2 linked regions of the Elephas maximus indicus genome follow. The protein of the gene in region 1 purifies or fractionates together with the protein of each later gene. This does not show direct contact. Links are inferred from orthologs where the notes say so. Each region holds a gene or a part of one and is shown in the gene's direction. Other genes may lie near its edges.

The links. The genes of interacting proteins can lie anywhere in the genome.
Region 2: the proteins of CHTOP (region 1) and ERH purify together in Homo sapiens (affinity purification with mass spectrometry; 3 studies listed by BioGRID and IntAct, with this or other methods). This does not show direct contact. The link is inferred for Elephas maximus indicus from reciprocal best matches to the Homo sapiens genes CHTOP and ERH.

Annotation. Positions count from the first base shown.
Region 1 is NC_064821.1:191,479,780-191,483,526, forward strand, and holds the start of CHTOP (chromatin target of PRMT1 protein), read left to right. Parts: upstream 1-1,312; 5' UTR 1,313-1,634; intron 1,635-2,578; 5' UTR 2,579-2,595; coding exon 2,596-2,660; intron 2,661-3,747. UniProt on the Homo sapiens protein: Plays an important role in the ligand-dependent activation of estrogen receptor target genes. May play a role in the silencing of fetal globin genes.
Region 2 is NC_064828.1:81,864,882-81,868,628, reverse strand, and holds the start of ERH (enhancer of rudimentary homolog), read left to right. Parts: upstream 1-1,483; 5' UTR 1,484-1,589; coding exon 1,590-1,592; intron 1,593-3,747. Other genes in the region: SLC39A9 (zinc transporter ZIP9), read right to left, coding at 324-415. UniProt on the Homo sapiens protein: May have a role in the cell cycle.

The DNA of each region.
Region 1 (3,747 bases):
TCAGCTTCTTGGCTATAAAGCCAGAAAAAGAATCTCCATTCAACATTAACCAGTATTTACTAAGGACCTACCAATGTGCTTAAGGAGGTGGCACAGCTACGGTTGCTAACCAAAAGGTCGGCAGTTCGAATCTGATTGGAAACCCTATGGGGCAATTCTACTCTGTCCTATAGGGTCCCTATGGTCGTGGTTTTTTTTAGGGAGTCCCTGGGTGGCATAAAGGTTAAAGCGCTTGACTACCAACTGAAAGGATAAAGATTAGAGTCCACTCAGAGGTGCCTCAAAAGAAAGTCCTGCTGATCTGCTTCTGAAAAATCAGCCATTGAAAACCTGTGGAGCACAGTTCTACTCTGACACACATGGGGTCGCCATGAGTCAGAAGGACTCAAGGCAACTGGTAACTGGTACCATGTGCCAGACATTGTGTAGGAACTTAGGATACAGCAGTGAACAAAACAAACACCATCCTTACTCTCACATGGCTAAAGTCCAGCAAGGATACCGGGCCATTAAAACACATACACACAAGTGCTAGGAAGAGAAATAAAAGAATCTGATGCATAAGTAAGGTGGAGGAAGGGTTGAAGATGTGTTCATTCACTCATGTCTCAAATATCTGAGCACTCTGTTGTGTATCCAGACATAAAAAAAGTCCCTTTATAGAACTGTGTCAAAATTCACATGGCTGGCAGGTGGAGAGGGAGGACATGAAAGGGTGAGCAGGGACGCAAAGATCTCCCCAAATAAGGACTAAGCAATATTCGGGCCAAATTGGGGACGGAAAGAAGTGGAGAGGTTAATACGGACGGGAAGCGGTGAATGGCGCAGGAACCGGGAAAGTGTTCTCAACTCCCAAAATAGGGAGAATGGGGTTGAGCGGACAGCCCGGCTCCGTGATCTGCAAGAGGTGGAGTAAAATTCCGCGGAAAGATTTTTAGACGGTCAGACTTAGACGGTCTATCTTAGGAGGGAAGGAGTAAACAAGGGGATACGAAAACATTTTTCTTCGAGACTGAATCCGTCTCAGTGGCCCTGACTACGAAGGACTCCAGGGGTCTACAGCTCCTAAACCGAGGCGCCTCCAACGTGAAGGCCCCGTCAAGCCTCAACACTAGGGCCATTGGCCACGCCCCTCCGCGGTCGGAGCGCTTGGTGTAACACAAACAGGGCCTTTTACTAAAGCTCCGCCTCCTCCCTGCGGCTCCGCCCCTCAGCCTCGTGCCCAAGTAGCAAAAGTCTTTCCCGCCCCCTAGTTGTGCGTGGATCTGACGCCTGACGTAATAGCGTCGACGCCATTTTAGCCGGCCCCACTCCGCACGGGGCGTGGTGGCCATTTTGTTTTGGACGTCGAGCGGGACACGGCGGCGTCGGCGGCGGCAGCGGCAGCGGCAGCGGCAGCTGTGGTGGCATAGACGAAAAGAAGGAAAAGGCAGGCTGGGTGAGCAGGCGGACTGGCCAAACAGCCCGCAAACAACAACGAGCTAGCCTAGCAGTCTATCGATTACGCATCTAACCAACCGCCCACCAAGTTACCCCGAGCCCCCCACCGTCAACTCAGGTTCGGCCGGTCCCCGGCCCGCTTGCCGCAGCCGTGGTGGCAGCCCCGGGAGGAGCACTGGCGTCCGTTTCTTTTGGTGCGTTTCTGCAGTGAGGAGGGGGAGAGTCTTGGGGAACGGAAGGAGCTGGCGGTCGCGAAGTGGGGGGTGGTGGCATGTGGAAGCCGACCGGGTGTTGGAGTGAGGACGCCCCCGAGAGGGGGCGGAGCCCGGGAGGAGGAGGTGGGGAGAGGCTCAACTGGAAACTGGTGGCGGGATTGATGGGGGATAACAGGGAAAAAAGGAGAATTGTTTGGCGAGTTGAGCAAAGCTGGCTGTCTTCCCCAGGTTTTGAGATGGTAGAGAGGCTAAGTGAGGGCTGTGGGACTTTGGCTTGAAAATTAACGGTGGCTTTAGCGTTACATTCTGTAGAGAGCTCTCTGGGAGCTAGCTCTCAGGTGAATGCCTATTTAGGAAGCCTTTTCTACTCCATCGTCAAGCTCCCCAATCCCTTGCTAAGGCCACTACTCGATTTTAACGTCGAAAGCCAGTTTTGAAGCCAAGTATGCCTGTTTTTTCTCCAGATCAATGCTTCTCAACTTTAGACGCGCATTAGAGGCACCTGGCTAACATTCCTCCCCCCATTGCTGATCCCCAGCCCCACCCCCACCGATTGTGGTTAATTGGTCTGTGCCTAGGTTTCTATAGTTTTAAAAGCTCCCTGGGTAAGTCATATGTTGCCATACACTACCAGTTGAGAACTGATCTAGATTAAAAGCCAAGCTGTTAACACCCCTTTTTGCCATCTTTGGTTCTGCTACCATTTTTGAGACTTTGGCTGATATTTTATGTTCTGTGGGCTTCAAATTTTAATAGTTTGAAGTAATTACCTTAAAAACTTAAGCAACTGAAATGTGTTTTCATGTGATCTTCAATAGTCAGTGGTGAAGGTCTTTCCATTTGTTGTTGGTTCGGGCCTTGGCCCTTGTAGAAAGAGGTCGTTGTTATTCCAATTTGCTCATTTTGTCCATTATCCTTTGTAGATTCTCGGGATTTGAAGATGGCTGCACAGTCAGCTCCGAAAGTTGTGCTAAAAAGCACCACCAAGATGTCTCTAAATGAGCGGTGAGGCAGCCAACAGCAACTTCAGCTCGTTCATAAGAAAACATTACTTAAATTGGCCCTGGGATCCAATGCACAAAAACGGTTTTAAAATAACTAAATACCAACAGAAGGCTACAGACTTCTGTTCTTAGTTGCATCTTAATATGGTACACACATTGGGCGGTTGTTTCAAAACCCCTTTTTCAGTAGATTTTTATGTTAAGCTGTCTGAAACATTTATCTGGTGGGATGTATTTTAAAAAGACTCCTCACACCCTCCCTCTCTTCACATTTTTTTTTTACGTTGATACAGGGGTGGTGCAGCACGGTAGCATGGTACCCTGGCTGCAGAAGGCTTGCTGCCCAGTCCAAGGCCAGCAGTGTTGCGTCTGGCCTGTAAGAGGCAGGTAGCAAGCCATGAATCTGTCCAAAGGCCCTTGAATATCATTCTTGGGCCTTGTAAGAGGCACTTGCTTTGCTCCATTTCACTTTCTTCCCATTCTGCTTTTAGTTTGTTTTTGTTTTGGATTCTTTTACAGTTGTGTTCTTCTCTTTCGTGCCATTCATCTTACCTTAACAGAAATAATAGAGTGTCTTCCCAAGCTCTGAAATGATTGAACTAATTTAACTTTCTCATAAGTAATTATTTGGAGTCAGGGAAAGTGTCCATTTGAGGTTAAGAAAAGTTTAGGTATTTAAAGTAGCTTTTGTCTCTGAGAGCTCTGTTCATTGAGGGCCTTTGGCCAAAAAATTTATTAAGTTGATGTTAGACTGCTAGGAGATTTGTCTGTCTGTTTTTGTCTTTTTGAAGCATATGTGCTGCTTCTCTAGCCCCTTTGGTATGATATACTTACTAGCTGTCCATATTAGCAAGCTACTGAGTAAACAAAACATAAGAAAATGTGATGCAGTCCTGTAATATATATGGATGTACTATTTCCGTAGTCCCTGGGTGGTGCAAACAATTAAGGCACTTGGCTGCTAATAGGTTGGTGGTTTGAGGCCGCCGCCCCCCTGAGGTGCCTCAGAAGAAAGGGCTGGCAGTCTGCTTCCCAAAAAGCAGCCATTGAAACCACCGTGGACTACAGTTCGACTCTGACATACATGG
Region 2 (3,747 bases), on another chromosome or scaffold:
TGGAAACTCTGGGAATCAATTAAGTTATGGTGCCTCTCTCAGGAAAATGCAGAGCCCTCAAATTTTTGTCTACAATTTCATGAGGACCCCCAGGTTCAGAATACCCCAGATTTCTGGTGGATCCACCCATCCCACGTTAAAAACTCTAGTGCTGAATGAGATTTGTTTCCACTATTAAACGTTAGGTATCTTTTTTAAAAGACAGTCTTCCTTCATGAAATCCCTCAGCTCTGAGATTAACTTGGGAAGCTGCTTCCCTTCATAACTGTCATTACTTCCCAGCAGCCAACCTGAGAGCTGACAGAATATTGGTTATTTCTTACCTCTGAGAAATTAACAGCCAAAGGAATGATTCCAGCCACGTAACATCCCACCAACATAGCGAGGGACAGCATACTAATGGAGATGAAATCATCCATTCTGCCCTCCTTTATTCACCCACCACCACCAGACAGACTATGAATTTTCAGTGGCTTCAAAAGTTGCTTAGGTTCTCAAGCACGCGCGGTGATTCCAAGAGAATAGGCGGGCTCTCCAGTTCTTTCGGCCTCCCCACCAGCAGATCTGTTCTCGAGGTACCTCTGGAAACCCCTTTTTGCTGATAATAGCACCAGAGAGAACTTTCAGCAACCTTAGGTCCCAGCCTCTGGGTTCCCAGGTGCCAGACACTGGATTCCCGTGAGTTAACAGAAATGGGAAAAGTCAACGGGGAAAATATGAGAATGAACGACTTCTTCAATCGTCGGAATGAGAGTGGCACAAGGAGTCCACTCCCCCCACAGACAATGTCCCAGATGGCAGCAGGAAGAGGAGGAAAACCCAAGAGAACCTGTTCGTCTCCCGGCCCCCCGTACCCCTGAGGCAGCCCAACGGTGATCCCCCCAGGGCTGGGACCAGCCCACCAATCCCGGCAAACTCCCCTCCAAGTCTTGTATGGGGAAAGGAGTCCTGCAGGTCTCTAACACGACGGATCCGAAAGGTTCAGCAGCGAAGCTGATACAAAGCTGTCTCTGCCCTATACCCGCTGCTGCCCATGACACTCCACTCCTCCGAGTCTTGACCCGAAGACACCGATACTACAGCTGCCATGGCCGCCAAGTGGCAACTCTTCATTACATCCACTTCCGGATTGCCCCACCGGTTCCCCCCCCCGAAAGGCATTTCCGGGTTACAACCGACCTATGGCCCGGTATACTTATACGGCCGCCATTTTTTAGTAAAAATATTAGTAAGGCCACTGAAAAGGACTTGTTCCCGTCTATACTGGTGATCACTCTGGCCGAATGTCTAACAACCAGAGTACGGAAGACGGCGTCTTAAAAAAAAAAAAAAAAAGGACCCTTTCTCAAGCTACGAAACATTCCGCGATGTATCTAAGTCGCCCTTATCCAACATGGCTGAAACAGAGTCGGTATCTGCTCTAGCTACCGGAAATATGTACGCCTCTATGGTCCAAAAGGCTCTTTCCGGTTGCGATTTTGACGAGTTCCGGCGGCTCCTCTCGCGGGGATTGGCTGTTGGCGGCGTTGTGGCTCAGCTCGTGTGCGGTGGTGGTATCTACAGCGGCTGCAGCGAAAGAGTTTGGCACGATGGTGAGAAAGGCCTCCCCGGCTACCCGAGCCCCCACCCTTCCTGGCCCCTCCAGCCCCGTACATCTTCCATCCACCCCAGTCCAGAGCGAGCGTGTTGCTCCCCGCCTCTCCAGCGCGTGGGTCGACCCTTTTGCTTCCCGCCACGGAGTCGCCGGGCCTTGCTCTAGGCCCCGAACCCTGGGCCAGCTCTAGGGTTGCGCGCCGGACCACTGGCTCGGAAGAGGCGCGCCGTGCGTCTAAGGATGCCCTTACTCCCGCCAGCTGCTTGGTAGAGGGAGGCGTAGGGATGGTGCCCTTTCCCTCCAAACGCTCTACCCTGGTGTAGGAACAATGGCCGAGGGATGTCTATCAAACCTATCCGAAGCTGACATTCCACTTCCTGCACTCGCGTGGGGCCTGGAGGGGTCGTGTTTGCTTTGTGGCGAGTTTTCTCAACTATTCCCCTTTTGCTTTTCCGTGTTTTGTCGTTCTCCCCTTAGGTTTTTACCCTTTTCTAATACATCTAGGTGTCCCACTTGTTTCCCTCAACCCTACCCAGTTGAGAAACCAAACCCATTGCCTTGAAGTCGATTTTGACTCATAGCGATCCTATAGGACAGAGTAGAACTGCCCCATAGGGTTTCCAAGGCTGTGTAAGTCTTTACCGAAGCACACTGCCACATCTCCCGCTTGAGCTGCTGGTTTAGTTTGAACTTTAAGGGTTAGTAGTCGAGCGCTGAACTACTTGCACCGCCTGTTGTTACCCTTGTTTATATTCTGATGGGACTGGAGTCTGAAAAGGTAGGCTTACCCGAGGTTCCAGGTACTTAGAATCTGGCTGGGGTGGTAGTGGAATGGGTGTTTTTTTTTGTTTTTTTTTTTTAGATCATCAGAAGAGGGATGCCTACAGGGCGTCTGGTTGCTGGTTTTGTAACTACCAGTGCAGTTATTGCTAACGATGAACTATGCCTAGTTGCACTTTTTGAATTGAGATTTTTCAGTGCTGACTCAATCTAGTCTCCCAAAAAGGACAAGGAATCAGAAGACTGTTTCCAGTTTCTGTTTTGCCATAACTAGCTTTGTGACTTTGGGCTTGTCATTTTACTCGTGTAAGTTTCCTTCTTCTTTGGTTGTATGTCCCCTCTTTGGTATTGTGTTAAAATTCAGCGATCAAAGTCTGAGACAGTTACAGCAATTAACATCAACAACTCATTCTTGAATAAATGTTAGTAATATTTCGTCATCAGCTTTGAGTAGAATTAAAAGTTAGAATTTATAATTAAAGTGGATAATTATTGGTTTGAACACCGTAAGTACTAGAAGGTGCAAGCTTCGATTTATTTTTGTTTTTTGTAGTTTGGGAAAATACTGGATGCCAGTGAACAGATCATAGGTATTATAATATTGCAACAGTCAACAGCAGAATGACTGTTCTCCTGTTTGTGAGACTTCTAAAAAGTAAACAAAGTCAGATTATTTATCAGAGTGAATCACAACTGCTTGGTAATCTCTCAGGATAAAGGATTTTATTAAGAAATTATGCATAATTTTTTTCACATTTTGGTTTGTCACAACTGGTTTTTCCTATTATAAATAGAAAAAAATATATATTTATTGTACTGGCCATTCCCCCAGGAAAGACTGTAAGGAATGCATGGACCAAATCTGCCCAGAAGTAAGCGGGGGGCGGCGGAGGGGGGGGGAACTGACAAGACATATGTTTATATTTACTAAAATAAAACAAAAGGGTTCTGAAAAGAACAATAAGAAGAAAGTGACCAAAACCACTTTGGGAGATATTATGATCTTTAAAAATTGCTAACAGGAAAGCACTGCCACTTAAAAATGATAATTTAGTTATGTCGCATATTTAGTAGTTTTAATCCATGTCTTTGGGTAATAAATACTGAAATAATAAGCTTTGCCTAGAGCCTTATTTTAAGACTAGATATAAAAAGAAGCATATTATGTAGCCATTTCCGTATGTTACCCTTTCAAATAGTCATTTAATTTGCATTAGCATAAGAATTAATATAATAGCAACTGATATAGCTACTGTACGGAACCCTGGTGGTTTGGTGGTTGAGAACTTGGCTGCTAACCAAAAGGTCGACAGTTCAAATCCACCAGCTGCTCCTTGGAAACCCTGTAGGGCAGTTCTGTTCTGTCCTATAGG